Linked DNA regions of Danio rerio. The protein of the gene in region 1 purifies or fractionates together with the protein of each later gene. This does not show direct contact. Links are inferred from orthologs where the notes say so. Each region holds a gene or a part of one and is shown in the gene's direction. Other genes may lie near its edges.

Region 1 (4,303 bases):
TATTAAAAACAACGTAATTTTCATGTAAAGTTTCAAATAGAAATCAATAATTAAACCTCATCAGTTCTCTTAATTTGTCTGTTTTTTGGTACAGAACATTGTTTTTGTAAGTAAAAAGTGTGAGAGCCACTTCAGTACAGCAAAAATACCTAAAGATTTCTCATGTTTTCTTTTGACAATAAAGATAGCATGAAACAGTGTTTTCTATTGACTATTGGCTTCAAAGGTTTCATATATTTCCTGGTGCAACAGAATGTTTAATAAGTATTGTGGGGATAATGTTCTTGCTTTATGATTTGATTGGATCAGAAGGGGGTTCTGTGCAATAATATTGGTTAATATAAATTTTTCCCTGACTGCGCACCTTGGTTATATCAGCAGAAAAAGAAAAAATATTCAATTTTTTATATTTAATTAAAAGGTAATAACTTGCTAAATCCGAGCATTTGTTTTTTCCACAGTAAGTGAGAGCTGAGGTTATTTTAATGTCATGTGATCTTGAACCGACTGGTGAAAGGCTGCCATTCTGACTCTGTGTTTTGTTTGTGGGTCAGGTCTTATGGAGATGCTGCTCACTGCAGGAAGGCTCTTCACAGAGCAGTACAGTGTACATCAGACTACCCTGAGCACGTGTGTGATGTCCTGCTCAACTTTGAAAGAGTGGAAGGTCAGCTTATTGAAAGCTTAATATATAGATTGTTGTTTGTGTCCAGCTTTGGGTGTTGATGTTGGTGTTGTTTGACACAGGCTCTCTGGAAGACTGGGATGCTGCAGTCCAAAAAACAGAGACCAAACTTAATAGAGTCTGTGAGCAGAGAGCACGAGTAAGTCCCAAATTGACTTGTATATTTTTTTTATTGAAAATAACAGAAGTACTTCAGTTTCCTATTGTGGCATCAAGCATCAGATATTCTTTTTACGTTTAAAATACGTCTTGCAGAAAGCTTACTTTAATGCTATTTAGCTATGGTTTTACGGGTGACTGGATGCTGTTTTTTTGCAGGTGGCAGAAAAAGAGGCTCTTCACGCCAGACAAGAGGAGGAGAAGGCAGAGCAAAGGAGAAAAGTGAAGGCAGATAAAAAAGCCCAGAAGAAAGGCCAGAAAGCAAACAGAACAGGGGATAAACGGAAAGCTGAAGATGACGATGAGGAGGAATGGGGAGAAGAAGCAGGTATAAATCAAGAGCTTTTAGTGAGAGTTTAACATCTTCATGTCATTTCAGAAGCATAAGAATAAGGGGCAGTTCATACAGAACTCGTTTTCCTTTCCAATGTGCTGATTTTCTATTGTTTCTCAATGTAAACACATTTGACGGATATGTCAGTGTTACACTTGTGCTGAGTGTCTTTTGAAGTATGGACACTCAATTTGTTCACTTAAAAGTAGGCAGTGTATTTAAATTTATATACAGTTGAAGTCAGAATTATTAGCCTCCCTGTTTATTTTTCCTCCCAATTTCTGTTTAACAGAGAGAGAGGATTTTTTTCAACACATTTCTAAACAAAAGTTTTAATAACTCATTTCTAAAGACTGATTTTGTTTATCTTTGCCATGATGACAGTAAATAATATTTGACTAGATATTTTTCAAGACACTTCTATACAGCTTAAAGTTACATTTAAAGGCTTAACTAGGTTAATTAGGTTAACCAGGCAGGTTAGGGTAATTAGGCAAGTTATTGTATAATAATGGTTTGTTCTGTAGACTGTCGGAAAACAATATAGCTTAAAGGGGCTAATAATATTGAACTTAAAATGCTTTTAAAAACTGCATTAAAAACAAACATAATTTGTGAAATGGTTAAAAAAGAAAAAAAAAAGTTAAAGGGGGGTTAATAATTCTGATTTCAACTGTATTATATTGAGGTAATATGCACATCATTGCTATTGTGGGGACAAAATATTTTGAGTTGTTAGGTCTCTAAATTTTTAGTTATTTTAAGAGCACAGTTTAGTTTTTTTTTTAATCTAATGGAGTAAATATGCAATATTGCATGTATCAAAAGAAAAAACATGTTTCAAATGACTACTAATGTATTGAAATATTTTATATTACTTAAAGGGAGAGACAGAATCAATCAAAATTATGCCATCATTAACTCATCATGTACTTATTCCTAACCTGTTTGAGTTTCTTTCATCTGTTGAACACAAAAGAAGATATGCTGAAGATAGCTGAAAAAAACAGCCACTGACTTTCAAACTATTTAAAATAATAATAATAATAAGTCATGTATTTTATAATGACAGTACTCATTGATCAACAGTAAGAACTGTAAATAAGCCAGAATTAACCAAAGGACTTATTTATATAATAAACCTAAAATCAAAAATAGCTTAATACACATCAAATGTTATTAAAGTTACATACAAAAAACTATTAGAAATGAATTACATTATTGTAAAAAAAGAACCCAAAAAATTGCACGATTACACACTTGATTCACTTTTCCTATTTCTTTAGCCCATTTTTAAATGTTGTAGTTTGCAATACCTCTTAATTCAAATGAAAGAGGATTCTAGAATTGAATGGCTCTTACTGAGCAGCCTGATGTCAAATGTTGTGTGCCTAAACTGCACAGCACAGTTACCTCTAGAAAGAAATATCATAAAAATCTATGAAACCACTTTTGTTTTAGTAAATGAGGAAATTCTTATTTATGGTTGTATTTCCCATGTGAATTTCTTTTTGGTCCCTTAATGATTGTGAGTTTTGGCTGAATATACTTTGAAAGAAAGGACAGAAGTTTTATACCTTAAGATCCAAGTATGAACAACGCAGCAGACTTTTCCATTGTATATCACATAATTATTTTGTAAAAAAAAAAAACACATCCAAGAAACGGAAGTCCTTTTTTAATCAAAAGTACATTTCACCTGTACTAACATATCAAAATGTGTGCAGAGCTGCCGTCCAAGAGGCTCAGAGGAGAGGACGACTTTGACAGCACGGTCACGGAGGAGCTCATGGAGACAGAAAGTGGACTTTTCGGCCGCCGAGCTCCACCAGCGCGTAAAACTGAGCCACCTGGTTTTCGAAAGAACCAGCAGGGAGCGCCTGAACCACAGCGACAACCCCACGACATGCCAAAGGAGCAGCGCAAAGATGAAAACTGTGTGTTTGTTAGTAACTTGACCTTTAATATGGAGGACCCTGAAGGCAAGCTGCGAACATTGTTTCAGGGTTGTGGGACCATACAGCAGGTGCGACCTGTGTTTACAGCAAAAGGTACATTTAGAGGCTATTGCTACGTGCAGTTTGAAGACCGACTGGCTGTACCTGAAGCACTGAAAATGGACAGGCAGGAAGTGGACGGGCGGCCCATGTATGTGTCTCCTTGTGTGGACAAGAATAAGAATCCTGACTTCAAGGTGAGAAAGTATACTAGAGTATTTTATGGGAAAGTAAGTCACAGCTGCAATTAAGATGCACGAAAACAAGCTATTATAGTTAAATGGCAAGCTTATTGGTTGGAGAATCAGAAATATTCAATTCGCCAAGTACTATGCTCAGTAATAATAATAGGCACTTAAAAACATCAAACTAAGGGCGTACTCGCACTATGCTATCCGATCCATGCCCAGGCCCGTTTCCTGGATCGCTTGAGAAGTGTGAGTGTTCTGAATCGGGCTCAGGCATTGTTCACTTGGGCTTTGCTGCGGTACGCTTGTGTGTGAGTGTAAAACGGGCCTGAGGCCGAAACTGAAAGCGAGACATGACTTTTAAGGGACTGTTACATATGGATTGATTATTCATTCTTACTGTTCAATGAACACAAACTGTCGCAGGTTATTAAAGAAGCAAACCCCTCACTGCACGACAGCTGCACCTTCAGCAAACCTCATAATTCCTTCAGCACGAGGGCTTTATGATTGTTTAGAAGCGTCAAAAGTTGCTGATCTATTCGACTAAATATTTGACTGCGTGTCACCGCATGTTAAACAACTTAAGAGATATAACAGTAGGAAATCTCCACTGCTGAGCGAGAACGCTTATTGAACAGTGCATCATCTAAATCACCAACAATTCATCTCAATAAAACTTAAGTAGTTACATTCATTCATATGCGGCCAAGAAAGAATCAAATTAGTTTTCCCCCTCTCTGTTAGTGTTTAGTTCTGTTAAAGTCTAAAAATCTATTCATAATGGTCTTAGTCTTAAATTTGAATTGGTGAGTCCTGCAGACACCCTGCAATATATAAGGGTCGTACTAATAAATTACTTGAGAGATCCCCTAGGCTAATATATTGTAAGTATTATTAACTTAATATATTTATAATATGTAAGTGATAATTGCACTGT
Region 2 (5,103 bases), on another chromosome or scaffold:
TGGAGATATTTTTTTCTAGCAAGGTGATAAGACTGAACCAATGTCAAATATGTCAAAGCAAATACATCTAACAAATTCCTAAATCTCATACATTGGCTTCAGCTCATTTCAAGAACCTTATATAAGAATGCGAATATGCGGCAGCTCTCCTAAATCATTTCAGCAAGGTATTTGACAAAGGTCTAGAGGCTGCAGCCGGTGCCTGGAATCGCATTGGATAACCTGGCCTGCAGTGGTTGCATGCGCAGATATATTTATATATATAGTGGGCATGAATCTGGGTGTTAGAATGGGGTGACTAGGTTCCACTGCTCATTTTTGATCAAGGCGACACTCCCCCCATCATTTCCACACTATTACCCCCATGCAGTGCAGGGATTAGGGAGCGGGAAGGGGAGGAGAAAAACTACATGCCGGCAGCCAATCTGGATTTCATTCGAAAACTCCCTTGAGGTTTTTCCATTATCCCCCCTCCATATCCAACTTGACCCGTAGAGAAAGCCCTGGCTCGCAAAGGTCAGCCTAGTCTAGACTCTCCTTTCCTCGAAGCAGCCTGCGGCAACCGACGGAGCCCCCTCCCCTCGCATCTGACACCCCTCAGCCTGACCCACCCCCAACCCTAGTGAAGCTGCCTCTGTAATCTTTTCATTTTTCCTCCACTCCCTCTCAGGTCTTTGGGGGCTTAGAAAGGTGAGGCGGGTTGTACCAGCAAATCAACTGTGCCACTGTCCATCTGAGCTCACCAGCGTCTTGAAGGCAGGGTGAAAACAGTCCCATCTGGCATCACTGGGCGGTTATTACCAACACGCTACTGTTTTCATAGGAGCTGTGGGGTTATTCACAGGCTTGCGGTGAGAGTGGATTGTCTGTGCTGACTGAGGAAAAGCAAATGCTTTTTTTATTTGTTCCCAGTCAAAATTTTATGCACATTCACATCAGTCTACAAAATGTTAAGTTGAAAACTTTTTGAAGGACAGCACATTAAGGTTAAAATGCCCTCTTTATGTGAGACGGACAGAATCATCTTCTACCAAGCAACAGGCAAAACTGAAAGATAAAAAGCTTGTGAAATGCTTTCTGTGTCTGTAGAGCTCTATTGTGTTTTATTCAGTATCGCTTAACAAGCCAAGCCATTCACGCTTTTCCAGTAGTCAAGAAAGCATCATAGTGCTTGTGTCAGCTTCCTTGTCATGATATTCCATATTTGTTTACAACTGAAAATCCCGGTGCTGTGTGCCACAACCGAAAAATCTGTAAACTCGTTCAATTTCTTTCCTTTTTTTCCTTAAATGAATGATTGCTTTGATAGGAAAATGCATTAGATCACATTTTTCTCTCTTAACCCTCCTTTAGGATGTGAACTCTGGCAACAAGGGGAAAAATACTCATTGAATATTCATTAACTCGTGCCTAGGTGTGTACACGGCTCTTAACCACACTTGTTTATGACTTAAGGACTTGTAGCGCTGACCTTAGTTTAACACAGCACCAGATACCAAATTAACCTCTAGCCTCCTCAGGGCTACCAATGCCCTGCTAACAAGCAAACTGTCTGGATGCGCCAGAAGTGCTTTATGATTCTGTCTCTCAGGTGCATCCCCTCCTCTGCCTGTGAACAAAAGACAGCTTTTTCTTCCCCATCTCCCTCTCTCTCTTTTGGCTATACAGGATCTTCTTTTTTCCTACATGTTTTAGCCACACCTCAACTACAACCTGAAGTTGCTTATTATACACAATGTACACAAAATACTTTGACAAACAGACAGACTATCTATCTATCTATCTATCTATCTATCTATCTATCTATCTATCTATCTATCTATCTGTCTGTCTGTCTGTCTGTCTGTCTGTCTGTCTGTCTGTCTGTCTGTCTGTCTGTCTGTCTGTCAGTCTAGGTTTCTATACGTCTGTTTGTTCGTCCATTTTTATCAGCTCATCTGTCATTCTTCTGTTTGTCTAACGATTTTATGTCCTAATGTAGCAAAAGCGACGATTCCCCGTCTTTACTGCCACCGTCGATCTGGCTCTTTTTTCCACTACGCATTCTTTGTCAAAGGAGATAACGCTATCTTGTCGGCTTCCGTACACTGGCTTTCTAACGAAGCATCTGGTTGGCTGAATGGTGTACACACCATGGAACTAGAATAAGCGGACGAGCTCATTGGTCAGCAGTCGCTCAGTCGAAACGTGCGGTTAACGTTGCTAAACGACATAGGTAAATAACGTTAAATGTTGTATGCTTTAATATAAGAATGCATTCGACGTTAGTGGGGTTTTAAAAAACTGCAGCACTGTAGTTACCTTGCTAGATATACGATGACACGTTTATTAAGTGATACGTTGGGTTGGAATGCTAGCATGCTAAATTAGCCGCTTATCGATAACGTTCACCGGCAATTTCCAAACAAATAAGGTTAAACCTCTTCTGGAAACCCCTTATGTGGTTTAAAATAAACGTCTTTAGTACGTTTTGTTGTTATTGTCACATCCTTTTTGTTAACAATGCAGCCATGGTTCATTTTTATAAGAGCTATTCATAAACTTCATTGTCATTCATTTTCAGCTAAAATGAGTCTCCGAAAGCAGACACCAAGTGATTTCCTGAAGCAGATCATTGGGAGGCCAGTGGTGGTGAAACTGAACTCTGGTGTCGATTACAGAGGTACAAACTGAAATATGCGGTTGTTTTTATGTTTGTATTTTACATTTATCATTTACAAGTTATCGAGGGTATGCATGAAGGGACTGATCATATTTGTTGTGTTGGAGGTAATAAAATAGGATGGTTTGGAAGTCAATCTTGAAGAAAACAACATAATTTCCTTATTGTAATTTATTACAAGTTCACTGCCACATGCAAGTTAAATATGGATAAAGTTGTGTCAGGTAAAGTAAGTTTTATATTCCAGGATTCAACGCTAAAGATTTTTTTTTTACTGGCCCGAAACTTTTCACTGGTCTGACCAAATATAACAAGTTACAGTTTTTCTCAGTGGCTTTGGTGCATTTCTCACAGCACTATTTACATTTGCACAACAGTTAATGCATTTCTCAAAATAATTAGTCATTTGTGCACATCCTATTAGCAGTTTCTCATTCCTTCCAACACATTGCAGATGCTTTTGGACATGCATCAATTACTTTCATACAACTCTCTGATATTTATAACATTATCATCTGCTTATGTCAACTAAACTTGTGAATTCTGAGTAGTCATTCCATATAAAACAAATAGTTTTCATTTCATTACTTGAGTCATTACATACAAAAATGTTGAACTAGTTGTCAAAATCTGTTAAGCAATATTTTATAAAAAAAATTAAATCTTTATTTTCCTGATAATGTCTAAAAAATTGAACAATTTCATGATTGATTTATAGACTTGTGTGTATTTTAGTTTCAGTTCCTATATGTTTTGCAATATTGTGTACAGTTGTGCACAACTCTACCCAAAGGGAGTTTGTTTGTTGTAAATAAGGGTGTATGTATTCTTTTGCACAATGGTGTGAATAAATTAGAATTGCAAAGAGTATATACAGTTAAAATGTGAAACATACATATTCAGTTTGTTGTACTCCGATTCCTCACTAAATGCAGTGATGTCTAACTTTACTGTAGTTTTCAAATGGCTGTGCAAATAGTATGCAGTGTTGTCTTGAGCATTTTCAGGAAGTGTCAACAAAATCTGACTTTTTTTGCATTGAAAAAATGTACAGAGTAAACTGTCATCATGAAAACAGGACAAAGCCATGTGACTATCTTGTTCATAAACAATGGTGTCAGGACTTTTCATTTTGATGATACTGGCACTTTGATTAACATCAATACTTGCTTTTGAGGAATGAACTATCCATTTTGAGCATGTGACGCATTTTTGCAGTTTATCATCTAGGTTTTGCAGTTTAAACTAATTGTTTTGAGAAATGCATTAACTGTTGTGCAGAAATGCACTAGTTTTGTGAGAAACGCACAAAAGCGACTGAGAAAAGCTGTAATAAAAAATATCCTAGCCACATATTTTAAATGTTCTGTCAAAAATAACATCTGCGAATGTAGCATTTAATGCTAATAAATCTAAAATAAGCAAAATTTATAGTGTAATGCAGACAAACAAACAAACAAAAAAATAATAGAAAATGTGCAGGTATTTTATTGCACTTTAAAATTATTTAACAAAATGTGGCTGACTTGCCAAACTTGCGGCAAACTGTGCAGAACATCACATTTTTTTCGTCATGTTGTACCCAAGACATTAGAAACAGACGTTTTCTTTTAGCTTAATAATTTGAAGTTGCCGCCTCTTTGCTGTACTGGTTTTTACCAAGTTTTAGAAAAAAATAACATGCTCACATCATCCAATCACATAAGAGGAAGCGAAAAGCAATATGGTGTTTACAACTTCACTGAGAAGGTAGTATTTAAAGGCTTGAAATAACAGTTTCTTAATTTTAAGACCTGATTAGGCCAGTAACGGTCCTGTTTAATGTCCCTAGCATCTCGCACACTAGCCCCGGGCCATTGGGCAGTCCTTATTGTTGAGCCCTGTATTCACATATTCTCACTTTTTTTCTTAATAATATAATTTTAGAAAAGTATTCTTTGAAAATTCTAAATAGTAAAATCATATCAGCAAATGACTATAAAAGTACAACATTGTTCACAGTCAAATAGATAGTACTATGTTGTTTTCATGTCAAACTTACTTATGATTTCAAATCAAATATTCAAAGTACCGTGGGAAACAATATAGGGAGCGTGTCGCAAGTTGTCGTTAAATAAATGTGCGAATATAAAACCAACTTTACCTCAGTTGCTGTATCCTGCTCTTGATCTAAGGCTTTTAGTCTGAAACCTTCCTTTAGTATTGCCACCATTTTCTTACACTTGGATATTTGTTATCAAACTTTTTGATTTCCATGCATTTTATTGTCTAAATCAATATTAAAGACCCTTTGATTTTTTTCCCCAGTGTTTTATTTCCACTTGTTAAAGCAAGAGTGGAGTTTGCATCAACTAAAAAGGAAATTAATATTGGTTGACGTTTAAAATATGAAATCAAATCTATGTAAAAATTAACAACAACTATTCTTAATTACTATACTT
Region 3 (4,876 bases), on another chromosome or scaffold:
GATGCAGCCTGTGTCTGTGTGTTTATGTGTTGTTTTTAAATGCTTATCATCAGGGTTGGGCAAAAACATTTAAATATATTTTAAAATAAAATACCAAAAACCATAAGTTTAAGTATATCAAAATAAACTACAAAATACCTCAGCCACAAAATGTATCAAAATAAAATACAGTATTTTTGTATTTTAAAAAATTCTACAAAATATTTTTAAATAGGAACATGATATTTGTTGGCAAACCTTTCATTAATAAGCCCATTTGATCAGTCCCTTCACCATTAAACTGATTCTTTAATACTCAGTGTAAAAACATGATTTCTGAAACTTTCAAAAAATTATCTTTTTTTGCAAATAAACTTTTCATATATTATATCATGTTCCTTCTGTATAACCTGTCAGAAGTTTTTAATTATTAAATGTGCGTTTCTCATGTTGTCACTTTTACATGTTTAGGCATACAGTACATCTTTCTTTTTCATTAACAGTACAGTGCATCTGCAGATCAACTACTGGCATTTGAAACAGCATCGGAATCGCCACTCATTTATTCATTCATTGTCTTTTCGGCTTAGTCCCTTTTGTAGGACTTATTGTAGGACTTATTGTTATGTTGTTTGTTTCAGTGACAAACATTTAGCATCAAAGTATTTTACAATATTTTAAACTACAAAAATAAAAGACATTAATGTATTTTTAATACAAAACATTAAGCCATTTCCATCAACCCTATCATAAATACTGCCCATCCCTGCTTATATTCATTCTAGGTAATTTTCAGAATGCTTGCTTTTAAAAACAGGAGAATGCATATTAAAGCATAATGTTATAAGAAGGCTCTATATGTTTAGGAACATTTATCTTTAAATTATAGAGAATCCAAAATCCATTTTTATTTTCAGAAATGTTGAAAACTTGTAAGCACTGACATTCATAGTATTTGTTTGTCATACTATTAAAGTCAATGGTTACAGGTTCCCAACGTTCTTCAAAATATGGAAAGATCAAGATGGTTTTAAACAAGTAAATTGATTAAATTGGCTGAATTTACATTTTTTGGATGCACATAAATACATAATCGTGAAAAACATTATAATCATTAGCATGTCGTGGAGGTTTTGTTTTGTTTTACAATATAGCGTTTTGTAAGTGGACTGCTTTTTTGTTTTATAAATGGGGATAACGCAGAGGATTAACCTGAGCCCTGGACTGTGCTTTATTATTATTTGTCTCCATCTGCTGACGAAAGAGGGAATTGCCAGAAAAGAGGAGCCATGTACGTGTATCAGCAAGCTCTGTGTCAGACATGTCATGTACCTCTTCGGGCATAAAGTTGACTGTTTTAAGAAAATATTTCACATCCATTGAACATGCGCCTTTTAATCTCTTTTGTGTGATGAACGATTGCGGAATAATTTACTGAGATGAGTACAAATGACGCAAAAACAGAACAAAACGCCAACAATTTCGCGACCAATGGGATTTTTACGTCTTCATTCTTCTAGCCAATAGAAGCACAGAGTGAAAGACCCGGCAGCTTTTTGATGACGTATGTGATCTAAAGCACAAAGCCGCGTGAAAATGGTAAGTGTTGTTATTTAGCAATATCATACAGTAATTTACGTTTAAGGAATTAATAAACGTGCTACGACCATTTGTTTAACATATTTAGGTTTTTTTGACCACTGTGTTCGCGAGAAAGACAAACAATGCTTCATGCTAACAGCTAACGCTAGCTTTCTTCATAGCCAAATAAAACAACATTCTCAAGCAAGGATTATCCCCTTAATTAAATGCCCAACAGAAACAACTCTGGCTGACTCCTATTATATTAAAGTCTTGGTATTTCATTTGCCTGCGTAATTTAGAAAGCAGTGTTATTTGCTGTTGACATTTCTCATTTGGTCTGTTGATAAAACTTGATTCAATCGTTTTATCGATGTCTTATTTGCTGTCCGCCTCATATTTTGAGAGTAATTCCTTCAAATGTTTATTCTCAGCTCTTCTACTCGTTTTTCAAGTCTTTGGTTGGCAAAGATGTTGTGGTGGAGCTCAAGAATGACTTGAGGTGAGTGCTCACCTTTCTTTTACAAATATTATATATATAATTAGAAATTGAATATACATATTTTATAATGTATGTGCCAGCTCGTAAAACTATGAACACATCTATTTTGCAGCATATGTGGAACATTACATTCAGTTGATCAGGTACGGAAACTGACTCCACACGTTTATTAATATAAACAAATATTGGGCGATTTAGGATTAAGTTAATCTTGTCATTTGTTCTTCCCTCACAGTACCTGAACATCAAACTGACAGATATCAGTGTTACTGATCCAGAGAAATATCCGCACATGGTGAGAAATGGATGAAATGAAAATTACACTCATAATCTTGGGTCTAATATCTTTATCAATGTCATGGAATTTTAAAAGGTTCATTTCAGACATTGAAATTTAGGAAATGTTGATATATTTTTGTCAGATTCATGGAATAACAGGGATTTTTTGTTTGTTACTTTACATTTTAGCTTTTCTTTATTAAAATATATTTGATATTTACAGCCATGCAAACCGCAAGTATTTTTTTTTTATATTAAGTAAATTATCATTTGTTGTTCTCATAGTGGCTATTAAATGAATGTAATAAAATGGCTAAAACCATTTCAATATATTTTTAATTTAATATTACAATTTTTTATAAGCACTACAGAAGCCTGTTATGTTCATGTCATGGTTGATATATTGGTTTATGGTAAAAGTACAGAAATTAATACTATGAAAAATCTGAAAATAGCAAGTGTAGGACCAATTTATTTTAAAGAATATTCAAAATAAAATTTTTTTTTGAATACTAAGTCATCTTTATTTTTTGAAATATGCAATAAAATATTTTCAGATTCTCATATAACATTGCTTTGGTTTTATTGTCAAAAAAACTAACTAGAAAGCAAGTGTAGAATTGCAACAGGATTTTTTTTTGTAAACCAACAATGCTGTGTAGTGAAAACCATTATTTAAAACGGTGAAAATACGGTCAACCATTTGATAGAGCAGGCAGCTAAAGGGTTAAAGAGGGAACCCTGATAATTGAATTGATTCCTAAATTAATGTAGATCAGGTTATTAAGTCTGTGATTTATGAATTGTCATAGTGATGTAGGTGCTCAACAAGGAGAACTTTGGTGTATATAGATGACTCTAATATTGTTTTGTTGTAGTTGTCTGTGAAGAACTGCTTCATTCGTGGATCAGTGGTGCGATACGTTCAGCTTCCTGCAGATGAAGTGGACACACAGCTACTACAGGATGCTGCACGCAAAGAAGCTACACAACAGAAACAATAATGTTTATATTTGAGAATAGTTTGGTTTTGTTCCAATGTTCAGAAGCATCATCTGTGGAGTTTTGTTGATTTAAATGTTTTTCTTACCTAAAACATGTAAAGTTTTTTTTTTCTCTTTCATTTTTACGTCATGTGAAGCCTGTTATTGAGGGTGTGATTTACTGTTTTTTTTTTTTTACTTCACAAGTTAGTGGTTGTGTGCTTTTAATGAGTGTTGGTAAAGTTCTGTACTGCATACCAATGACTTTTAGTTAGGTTCACACATTGATGCAAAAATAAAGTATTTTCCTCTGTTTTCACACTTTCCTTTTGGTGGAAAAAATCGTCCATTGTTGGAGTTCAGCTGACAGCATTTTACAAATTATGTTCGTGGAATGCTGGTGTTTTGGTTTAGGCAGGCATGTCCAAACTCGGTCCTGTAGGGCTGGTGTCCTGCAAAGTTTAGTTCCATACCCAATCAGACACACCAGGGCTAGCTAATCAAGCTCTTACTAAAAACATAATTGCAGATGTGTTGAGGCAGGTTGGAGCTAAAATCTCCAGGACACCGGCCCTCCAAGATTGAGTTTGGACACCCTTGGGTTAAGGTGAATGGATAGTTTAGCAGAGGTGTCAAACTCAATTCCTGGAGTGCTGCAGCCCTGCACAGTTCAGTTCCAAGTGTATTGGAGCAGGGTTGGGTTTCAAAGAAGCCCGAAAGATTTAATTACTTTAATCTGGTTGTGCTTACTTAAACTGAACTAAACAGTGCAGAGCTGCAGCCCCCCCAGGAACTGAATTTGACACCTGTAGTTTACAGCCTAGTCCCAAACAAAAAAGTAAGTTGTTTAGAGTAAAAGAAACTCGTAGTTACTGTTCCTAAAATATACCAGTGCCTTTGTTTTGTGTTTTTTAGGCACTTTTATGCGCTAATAAAGTAATCATGGCTTTATCAAAGCGAATGTAGACCACACTACAAAAATATGTTTAGGTGTTTTAGTTCAAAATAAATTGTCATCTACATTTCTATAAGTCAAATGACAAATATGTTAAGTTAAACTGATTAACTTAAAAAAGGAAAGTAATGAAAACATTTGTTGTCGTTTTTACAATGTATGTAATTTATTAAATATTCATATTAGGGAGGGTTACTATTTTATTTTTTTATATAGTAGTAAAGATTTTTTGAGTGTCATTTTGCATAGTACTTTAAACCGTGACAAGCCATGATTTTCAATTTTGATAATTTATTCATTTTTCTTCAGTAGGATACACCTTGCCTTACATTTAGTAATTTTAAATCCCTAAAAGTACCACAGGGTGTGCGGCGAAAAATATTAAGGAAAAAAAAAACACGAATATATTTCTTAATTTGTTTATAGCACAGTTCACTTTAAAGTTGCATTCTAAAAAGTTTAAGTAACATTCACAGGATTTTTTTCAGTCACAATATATTTTAACAGCTTCTAATTAATTTTATTATAGTAGTTTAGAGTACCCTTTTAAGCATTCGCTAATTAGCTACCAATAAAAAAATGTTAATTAGTTTGAAC
Region 4 (5,008 bases), on another chromosome or scaffold:
CCACCACATCCCAAAGCTGCTCTATTGGATTGAGCTCTGGTGACTGTTGAGGCCATTTGAGTACAGTGAACTCATCGTCATGTTCAAGAAACCAGTCTGAGATGATTGAGCTTTATGACATGCTGCGTTATCCTGCTGGAAGAAGCCATCAGAAGATGGAGACACTGTGCTCATAAAGGGATGGACATGGTCAGCAGCAATACTCAGGTAGGCTGTGGCGTTGATGCTCAATTGGTACTAATAAACCCAAAGTGTGGCAAGAAAATCTCCCCCACACCATTACACCACCACCACCAGCCTGAACCGCTGATACAAGGCAGGATGATCCATGCTTTCATGTTGTTGAGGCCAAATTCTGACCCGATCATCTGAATGTGGCAGCAGAAATGGAGACTTATCAGAGCAGCAACGTTTCTCCAATCTTCTATTGTCCAGTTTTGGTGAGTCTGTGTGAATTGTAGCCTCAGTTTCCTGTTCTTAGCTGACAGGAGCGGCACCCGGTGTGCTCTTCTGCTGCTGTAGCCCATCCGCCTCAAGGTTGGTCGTGTTGTGTGTTCAGAGATGCTCTTCTGCAGAGCTCGGTTGTAACGAGTGCTTATTTGAGTTACTGTTGCCTTTCTATCAGCTGGAACCAGTCTGGCCATTCTCCTCTGGCATCAACAAGGCATTGTTGGCACATGCTGCCTTGTGATTGGCTGATTAGAAATTTGCGTTAACGAGCAGTTGGACAGGTGTACCTAATAAAGTGGCCGGTGAGTGTATATGTAGGGGAGAAGTCAAAAATACATTGAATTAGTCAAAATTATTTTTTATTCTATGCCAAAAATCATTAGTATAAGTGATCATCATCATACATCGAGACGTTTTATACATGTCTATATTGTAAATATATCAAAACTCATTTTTTGAATAGTAAAATACATTGCTAAGACCCTAATTTGGACAACTTTAAAGGTGATTTTCTCAGTGTATAATACCATTATCTACCTTCAAATTTCAGAATAGTCATTTTAATTTATTCATATGTTATCAAAAATAGTTCATTTTGGCATTAAAAAAGACATACCTAGGGGAATGCTTATTTATTCAGCTTATTTTTCTAAAACTCAACACTTATGACTTGTTTTGTGTTCCAGGGTCACATATATGACACTCTTATTGTAATATATTTCTATACCTTTAGTTAGCTATCTCTTCTTCTCTCTTGTCTGTAAATAAGCTAAATGTGTGTAATTTAGGCCATTTACACCAGTCCTGCCAAACAAAAATAATGATTTAATAATGCATACACTGAATCCACTGACTCAAGTGGGTTTTCTTTCACAATAATCAAAATAATGAATCATATTATGCTGTTATTTTCTTGTTTTTGGCAACAGGTTCAGATCAAAAGGACTACATCTCCCAGAAGTCTCCTCCTCCTGCAGCAGAGTGGGAGGGTCTCTTTAAAACTCGCAGAGGCGCTAATTCCATACGATATAAAATGCTAATATGACATAAGTCATGTTTTATTAGTTATCCGATCATTAGTCGTTGTTATAAGCGTAAATTCAGCGCGGAAGAACTCTCACAGGGGTTGTTTACACATGTGACGACTGCCTGTTTCGAGTTCCCGAACGTTCTCCAAAGCAGAATTATGGGATTCTGCTCAAACACATACTCTTGTTAAATAAACAAATGCATTTTGTCGTCAATTTGTTATATTTTACTGATTTTGACGATAATATTTAGTGTCTAACGGGTCAATTCAGGCAGTCCGCTGGATACCTATTAAAAGAGGAGGGGCGGTGACTGCGAGCACATGCCTTCATTTAAAGCTCCGCCATTGGTTGTTCGAGGGGCCTTAACGTATATCGCGCTTTCTGATTGGCAGACGCGACTGTCCGTCAGGCTTGGTCTGTGGTGGAATATATAAGCGCGCTGGTCTGCTGTGCCACAGGGCGAGATGGAGCACTGCGAGTTCAAGCGCTCATGAACATTCGACAGATCAAAGTCTATTTTTAATCAGCACCATTTTAGCAAAGTGTTTTTCATATCTGCAGTAGCGCGAGTCAAGTGCAGCTGTGTGTTTACGTAGCTCTAATGAGCGCGGGTCTGTGTACATAGTGTGTCGTGTGCGCTGTTTTTGTTTGATTTTTGGCGTTCGTGTTTACTCTCAGCGCGAGAGAGCCGGAGAAAATATCTCGCTCAGTACTGTGTGTGTGTGTCTGTGTTAACGGACGTGTGCGTTTGTGTCGGAAAGGGGGGGAGCTTTCGAGAGTCGCGTTTCCGTTGCATTATTCATGAGCGTCGCGGTAGCCCCGCCCATAGGCGGAGTTAGTTAAATTAACGCGCCGTGGAGCTGTTAGATGAGCCAAATGTAACACGTGGGTCACAAGCACATCAGTGCCCATAAAACAATACAGAAAGCAGGCTCAGAGTAGTCAAGTAAGTACTCATCTGCAAGCGTCACACATTTATATCTTGTATATTGTACTTGAATGGTGTGTTTCTGTGTTTCCAGCGGCTGATGGATGTCTACTGTGATGTCAGTGCAAAGTGAGCTTCCTATTGCTGGTGGGGCAGCAGGTTTACTGGCCCACCCGCCGTCCCCACTGCAGACCATTAAAGATGAGGTGACCGCTAACATTGTGCTAACCGAACTCGCAGCCAATCACGTGACCCCACAGGATGGGGTTACCGCCGAGGGGCCCTTTCAGATTAAAAATGGCCTACAAACTCGAACTGAAGTGCAGACGCAGAAACTGGCGCAGAAGCGGCGCTACAGTATGAACGTGGCGTTCAAACATCCGAGTCTCGGTAAGCGAAGACGCCGCGCCAATTCTGAATGCGATCCTGTGCTTCCTACTAACTTCCTGCTGGGCGGGAATATATTTGATCCGTTAAACCTCAACAGCCTATTGGACGAGGAGGTCAGTAAAGCGCTTAATGCCGAAACGCCCAAATCATCGCCACTCCCCTCTAAAAACCGAGACCCGGTGGAGATTCTCATCCCGAAAGATATTACAGACCCGCTGAATTTAAGCGGCAGGGGCGGAGATTCGGCTGCCGGTGTGTTGGTTTCTCCAATGAAGATCAGACGCAGACACCGCAACCGCCATCATCCTGGAGCGACCACAGGCGTTGCCGACCAATCAGATTGTGAGAAGTCAAAAACCAATGAAACGACATTATTTCCTGTAGCTAATCCTGAAGAGGCTGCGAACAGTGCCGTTCTTCCGCCTGTCGAGGAGTCGCCGCGTCCGTATGAGCTCAACACCTCGATTAATTGCCGCGATGAAGTGGTGCAACCTATTCTGCCACGGCGTAAGTCACACCCCTCTGCGTCTAGCTCCGCCCCTCAATTACTCTCTAGGTCCGCCTCTGCGCCCCATCCGTCCAAACATCGGAAGCGCAGACGAACTGTCAGTCGCTCGGACTCTCGCCTGTCAATCACACCAACTCCGCCCACCAAGCGGCTAATCACACACACTCAAACCTTTCACACTCCAGTTATAGGCGGAGCCAGCGGAGCTCCTCCCTTGGGGGCGGAGCGAAGCCATGAACAGCAGCGCAGGCCGCGGCGCAAATACCATAATGGAGCCTACAGCCGTTACTATGGCTACCGCACACCATCGATGACCGACGACCCACGATTGGCTCTTTTTAATCCCGAATGGTTCTCTGGAAAAAAAGTTCTAGATGTGGGCTGTAACACGGGTCATGTGACCCTTGCCATCGCCAAACACTGCAGCCCCGCCCACATCCTGGGCTTGGACATTGATGGCGCGCTGGTGCAAGCCGCCCGCCAGAACCTGCGCCATTTCCTGTCGGAGCTGCAGGACAGGCAGCAGGCGGGAGCAGGTGAGGGGTCAGAGGTCACGGGGCTGGTGCCGCTGATGGACCTGCAGCTGGTGTTACCCAGGTTTCCTGTCTCCTTCATGCGCTGCCGCGGACCCATCGCCGCTCCTCCCATAATGCATCAGTCTCCAGGCCAGTTCCCCAGCAACGTCTGCTTCCTGAAGGTACACTAACATAGCTGAAGCAGCAGATCTTCCTGACGTGTGTGTGTGTGTGTGTGTGTGTGTGTGTGTGTGTGTGTGTGTGTGTGTGTGTGTGTGTGTGTGTGTGTGTGTGTTATTGGATGTATAATTAATGTTTGGATTTTGCACACACAAACATCTGTCTGTATTTCTATATATGGAATCTATCTATCTATCTATCTATCTATCTATCTATCTATCTATCTATCTATCTATTCATCCATTCATCTATCTATCTATCTATCTATCTATCTATCTATCTATCTATCTATCTATCTATCTATCTATTCATCCATTCATCTATTTATCTATCTATTCATCCATTCATCTATTTATCTATCTATCCATCCATCCATTCATCTATCTATCTATCTATCTATTCATCTATCTATCTATTCATCCATTTATCTATCTATCTATCTATCTATCTATCTATCTATCTATCTATCTATCTATCTATCTATCTATCTATCTATCTATTCATCCATTCATCTATTTATCTATCTATCCATCCATCCATTCATCTATCTATCTATTCATCTATCTATCTATTCATCCATTCATCTATCTATCTATTCATCTATCTATCTATTCATCCATTCATCTATCTATCTATCTATCTATCTATCTATCTATCTAACTCTATTCATCTATCTATCTATCTATCTATCTATCTATCTATCTATCTATTCATCCATTCATCTATCTATCTATCTATCTATCTATCTATCTATCTATCTATCTATCTATCTATCTATCTATCTATCTATCTATCTCTCTCTATTCATCCATTCATCTATTTATCCATTCATCTATCTATCTATCTATCTATCTATCTATCTATCTATCTATCTATTCATCCATTCATCTATCTATCCATCCATCCATCCATCCATATCTGTCCGTCCGTCCGTCCGTCTTGTCTGCCCATCCATCCATCCATCCGTCTATCTATCATAGTTCTATCTGTCTGTCTATTTATCTAT
Region 5 (4,895 bases), on another chromosome or scaffold:
CCATAAGAAAATGTTTGCGCATCCCTGCTATATTTTAAATGATTTGTTTTCTTAAAATGAATTCACAACAACAACAAAAATAATAAATAAAAAATAATAAATTGTTTCTGAAACTGAATCTTTATCTTGACTGGTGGACTGCTCTATGATTAGGTGTGTAAAACAAATCTGTGTAGATGGTATAATTACGTTAAAATCTCATTTATTACACCATCACCATTCAAAATATGATTTACGCTTCTGTAAAAACGTTTCACTTGGTTAAACTTACAAACTCAAGTTCAGCAGCTGCCTTGAAAATGTGAGTCAACTCAACTTGGAGAGATTCTTAAGATGTTGAGTTTTACAATATATTTAACTAAAACTCAACATCTTACATTGAAACAAAGAATCTCTCTAAGTTGTTGCCTCACATTTTCAAGGCAGCTGCTGAACTTGAGTTTGTAAGTTTAACCAATGTGAAACGTTTTACAGTGTGGGCAATTATTGAGGGCCCCCAAATTTCTTGGGGTCCTAAGCGGTTGCTTGCTTCATCTTTCAGATGAGAAGTTAAACCCAGGTCTTGATTCTCTGTGGTCAATAAAAATCCCATGGCACTTCTCGTAAAGAGTAGGGGTGTAACCCTAGTGTCCTGGCCATATTCCCTCCATTGGCCCTTACCCATCATGGCCTGGCCTCCCAATCATCCCCATCCACCGAATTGGCTCTATCACTGTCTCTCCACCAATACCTGGTGTGTGGTGTCCGCACTGGCACTGTGGTCCTGTGGCTGCCGTCGCATCATCAAGTGATGCTGCACACTGGTGGTGGTGTGGAGAGACCCCCCTCATGATTGTGAACCGCTTTTGGTGTAAGATCTATAATATAAATACACATTACATTACATCATTGGTTAGGTCAGTCCCTGATTCTGATGTAATAGCAACGTAATTCCAGAACCACCATACAATTCCATCAAATTTATTAAACATTCAGTACCTTACGAATATTAACAAGTTTTAATTATTTTTTCCATGCTAGTGTGTAGCAAAACACCGTATAACAACTATTTTTAACCACTACAGCACTTTTATATAGTTCAATCAGCATTAATTCCCATAATGGCGATGTACAATTACAATTAGCGTCTGAAATCATCCCACAACCATTGATTGTACTTTTGTGTAAGTGCCGTCGTCATCATTACCACCAGTGTTTCCATCGACCCCCACTTTGACCCTCAAACAGTTAGCCTTTTCAGCAAGAACTGATTATAATCTCTAAAGTTACTCGTTAGAAACAGTATTGTGCTCTCTTCCTTAGAAACCAGAAATCTCCAGAGCGCGTCATCTGCTGGACAAATACCGCATCACTCCCTCACGACGGCTAAACTTCACATTAATTTGTTTAAACTATAAAATTAACTTCATTAGCACTGTCCATTTGTGGTCTATTTTTAACAGTTTTGATTGATGTAAACGTGTGTAATTGTAAGAAATCTATTTAATTATTTATACGCTTATTTTTATGTACGTGTGTTTGTTTTGCTTCTTAATTAATGTTTAATTATTTGTACTCTTACTATATTTATCTTCTATCATCCCTGGCATTAAAATGTGTGTTCTATTGTCGCGTACTAGTTATTTAAAGCTTATTAAATAAATACTAATTCACTCATGACAGCTTTCGTTGCTCCAACTCCATTAGTTCTGCCTGAAGTTGTGCTCAATCGGTCATCGCCTACTCGAGTCTCTCCGTTATCGCTTCCGGCTCAAGAACGAATGCTTTTCGTTGTAGGAGCTAGCGAACGAGCACCGGAGGATTTAAAAACACGCACCAGCAGAAAAGATGTCCACCGCTCTCGAGAGTTACATTCACCGTATCCTTTAATACGCATCGTGAACAGCACGGCGGTGATGTTGTTGATCGATACCCCGTGTTTTGTTGTTGATTGTGTGTGTTTGAGCGTGAAATGTCTAACTTTATATATATGGCGCGCCAGCAAGTGAATTAGCTTTTGATGATCATACGTCGTTATAATTCACGTTATAGCATATTAATGTACGCACATACATTTCTTGAGCAAAATAGATCAGTTCAAGATGATTATCGGTTATCTGGATGTGATATTAACTTCATAGATGCCTGTTTTTTGTCAAATATTTGAGTTTTTTTTTCTGGACCAATGAAAACGAGTCTTCAAATATTTAATTAAGACATATCATATAACTGGAATATTACTATTTACTGTAAATATTACATATTAATGTGTTCACATCTTGCATATCGGGTAGAAATAAGTATATTTGACTGTTTGTATTCATGTTAATCTATATAGATATAATTTATGTATGTAAAACAATCTAGAAAAGTAAAAAAAAAAATTTACATTTTGGATATAAGTATATTTGACCGTTTGCATTCATGTTAATCTATAAATACATATAATCTAATTTATAAATGCAAAACAATCTACAAAGGTTTTAATTTCTGAAATATTTCGTAAAAATAAGTATATTTGATTATTTTTATTTATGTTAATCTATTTATAGATGTAATCCATATATGTAAAACAATGTAGAAAAGTTTTTATTTCTTAAATTTTGCATAAAATTAAGTATATTTGACCATTTGCATTTATGTTAGTCTACATATAGATGCAATCCAACAATCTAAAAAAAGTTTTCATTTGTTCAATTTTAGTTAAAAGTAATTATATATGACCCTTTGTATTTATGTTAATCTATATATAAATATAATCTATGTAAAACAACCTAGAAACGTTTTAATTTCTTAAAATTGCGGTAAAAATAAGTTTATTTGACTGTTTGAATTTGTTAATCTATAGATAAAATACATATATGTAAAACAATCTAGAAAACTTTTCTTAATTTTTGGTTAAAAGTAAGCATATTTGACTGTTTTTATTCATGTTAATCTATAAATAAATATAATTTAGAAATGTAAAACAATCTAGAAACATTTTCATTTCTTAAATATTTCGTAAAAAATAAGTATATTTGATTGTTCGTATTCATGTTAATCTGTATATAAATATAATCTATATATGTAAAACAATCTAGAAAAGTTTTAATTTCTTGACCATGACCATTTGTATTCATGTAGATAGATAGATAGATAGATAGATAGATAGATAGATAGATAGATAGATAGATAGATAGATAGATAGATAGATAGATAGATAGATAGAGAATATGAATCAGTCAATGAATAAAATACTTAATAGAGATTTTGAACACACATTATGTGTACTATATAAACACAAATCCAGAGAACAAATAAACGCAGTGAGTGACCATGCATACATAAAATGAGCTTGAAATTTCCTTGACTGTGATTTTTTTCAAGGGACTGTTGCTATTGTCACTTCGGATGGCAGAATGATCGTGGTGAGTCTTCCTCGTGTACTTTAAAGGGAGTTATCCACCTTTGTGTTTAATAAAGTGCAAGTCAAAGACACTTTGGGAGTGTTTGACTGTATTAGGAAAATCTAAACATTATCACTTGTAACTCACAGCTCCGACACATATTTTTCATTTGTATTTTTGTTTTGTTTAAATGTCTTTTATGTTTAACTGAGGAGAAAAGTCCCCTAGATTGTGAATAGCCTGAGTGTGAATAAATTAATATTAAAATCTGTGTTTTTTGGTGAACTTACCAATTAATCATTGTCTGTGTGCAGAAATGAAGAAGATCGCTTACTGACTTGTGCTGTTTTTAGGGGACGCTAAAAGGCTTTGATCAGGCAATCAACCTCATCCTGGATGAAAGCCACGAGCGGGTCTTCAGCTCTTCACAGGGGGTCGAGCAGGTGGTTCTGGGACTGTATATTGTCAGAGGAGATAATGTGTGAGTATTAAACTCCTTTCTTGTAATTATGTTTATGTTGTGCAGAACAGTGCAAGGTTTATGATTTTTTTCTTTTATTTGGTTGACATAAATGGGAAATTATTTTGTGTTTAAGGGCTGTGATCGGTGAGATTGATGAAGAAACCGATTCTGCGCTGGATCTTGGAAACATAAGAGCAGAACCACTCAATTCTGTGGTGCATTGATGGACAGAAAATTTCATTTTGATCCAGTTGAAAACTTTCCCTAGGAAATCTGCAGGCATCTATAAGCAGCAATATTACCTGCTTTTTTAATCTTGAAAAAGACTGAATGCATATTTGTTTTTTGTTTGTTTTGTTTTTTACGGGTGTTGAAATAATAAAACAAAAAGTGATAAATCAAGATTTTAAATTTTTTAAAAACTTGTATAAAGGGGAAAATATTGGTAAGTATCCATTTTCTGGATAATTCTCAGTCAAAAACAAAAAAAGTAATAAATTAACAGTAAAAGTAAGATTAGGTCCATCTCCAAAATGCCTATTTTATCACCCAAAAGTCAAAAGAAATTTCCGTATTACATGAAGAAATTGAAAAGCATTTAAAGCCCATTTTGTTTTATTGCATTCATGACGATTTAGCTTATTTCCCACAAAGAAAAGCTCATTGCAGTATCGTAAAAATGACGAAAAAAGACATTAATATAAGTGTATATTATTATAAATAATTTGTAACAGTTATTTAAATGTAGTAATTGTATATAATAATGTGCAATATTGTATTATAACATAATCATGTATTTAAAAATAAACACACACACACACACACATATATATATATATATATATATATATATATATATAATAAATAATATAAAAGATTATATAAATTTCTGTTCACATTCAGAGGAATGAATATTTAATTATGCAAATGTTTCACAATGGGGTTATTTTACAAGTATATATCTATTTAATATTGATAAAATAGTATAGTTATATATTGCTAATATTTTATTATATTGTGTATAATTATGAAATATATTTTATACGAGTGATTATATAAGGCTT

What was found.
Region 2: the proteins of sart3 (region 1) and lsm6 purify together in Homo sapiens (affinity purification with mass spectrometry; 4 studies listed by BioGRID and IntAct, counting the BioPlex papers as one, with this or other methods). This does not show direct contact. The link is inferred for Danio rerio from reciprocal best matches to the Homo sapiens genes SART3 and LSM6.
Region 3: the proteins of sart3 (region 1) and smx5 purify together in Homo sapiens (affinity purification with mass spectrometry; 3 studies listed by BioGRID and IntAct, counting the BioPlex papers as one, with this or other methods). This does not show direct contact. The link is inferred for Danio rerio from reciprocal best matches to the Homo sapiens genes SART3 and LSM2.
Region 4: the proteins of sart3 (region 1) and mepceb purify together in Homo sapiens (affinity purification with mass spectrometry; 6 studies listed by BioGRID and IntAct, counting the BioPlex papers as one, with this or other methods). This does not show direct contact. The link is inferred for Danio rerio from reciprocal best matches to the Homo sapiens genes SART3 and MEPCE.
Region 5: the proteins of sart3 (region 1) and lsm8 purify together in Homo sapiens (affinity purification with mass spectrometry; 4 studies listed by BioGRID and IntAct, counting the BioPlex papers as one, with this or other methods). This does not show direct contact. The link is inferred for Danio rerio from reciprocal best matches to the Homo sapiens genes SART3 and LSM8.

Annotation. Positions count from the first base shown.
Region 1 is NC_133180.1:21,199,197-21,203,499, forward strand, and holds part of sart3 (squamous cell carcinoma antigen recognized by T-cells 3), read left to right. Parts: intron 1-554; coding exon 555-667; intron 668-747; coding exon 748-824; intron 825-1,003; coding exon 1,004-1,172; intron 1,173-2,905; coding exon 2,906-3,372; intron 3,373-4,303. UniProt on the Homo sapiens protein: U6 snRNP-binding protein that functions as a recycling factor of the splicing machinery. Promotes the initial reassembly of U4 and U6 snRNPs following their ejection from the spliceosome during its maturation.
Region 2 is NC_133176.1:39,343,834-39,348,936, forward strand, and holds the start of lsm6 (U6 snRNA-associated Sm-like protein LSm6), read left to right. Parts: upstream 1-2,121; 5' UTR 2,122-2,215; exon of another isoform or gene 2,216-2,438; coding exon of another isoform or gene 2,439-2,463; intron 2,464-2,563; coding exon of another isoform or gene 2,564-2,568; coding exon 2,569-2,662; intron 2,663-5,103. UniProt on the Homo sapiens protein: Plays a role in pre-mRNA splicing as component of the U4/U6-U5 tri-snRNP complex that is involved in spliceosome assembly, and as component of the precatalytic spliceosome (spliceosome B complex).
Region 3 is NC_133181.1:30,702,411-30,707,286, forward strand, and holds smx5 (smx5), read left to right. Parts: upstream 1-1,499; 5' UTR 1,500-1,575; coding exon 1,576-1,578; intron 1,579-1,994; coding exon 1,995-2,062; intron 2,063-2,174; coding exon 2,175-2,205; intron 2,206-2,297; coding exon 2,298-2,357; intron 2,358-3,219; coding exon 3,220-3,345; 3' UTR 3,346-4,280; downstream 4,281-4,876. UniProt on the Homo sapiens protein: Plays a role in pre-mRNA splicing as component of the U4/U6-U5 tri-snRNP complex that is involved in spliceosome assembly, and as component of the precatalytic spliceosome (spliceosome B complex).
Region 4 is NC_133198.1:47,984,856-47,989,863, forward strand, and holds the start of mepceb (7SK snRNA methylphosphate capping enzyme-like), read left to right. Parts: upstream 1-1,937; 5' UTR 1,938-2,427; intron 2,428-2,503; 5' UTR 2,504-2,513; coding exon 2,514-4,004; intron 4,005-5,008. UniProt on the Homo sapiens protein: S-adenosyl-L-methionine-dependent methyltransferase that adds a methylphosphate cap at the 5'-end of 7SK snRNA (7SK RNA), leading to stabilize it.
Region 5 is NC_133179.1:10,099,296-10,104,190, forward strand, and holds lsm8 (LSM8 homolog, U6 small nuclear RNA associated), read left to right. Parts: upstream 1-1,667; 5' UTR 1,668-1,827; coding exon 1,828-1,858; intron 1,859-3,348; coding exon 3,349-3,389; intron 3,390-3,721; coding exon 3,722-3,849; intron 3,850-3,964; coding exon 3,965-4,055; 3' UTR 4,056-4,230; downstream 4,231-4,895. UniProt on the Homo sapiens protein: Plays a role in pre-mRNA splicing as component of the U4/U6-U5 tri-snRNP complex that is involved in spliceosome assembly, and as component of the precatalytic spliceosome (spliceosome B complex).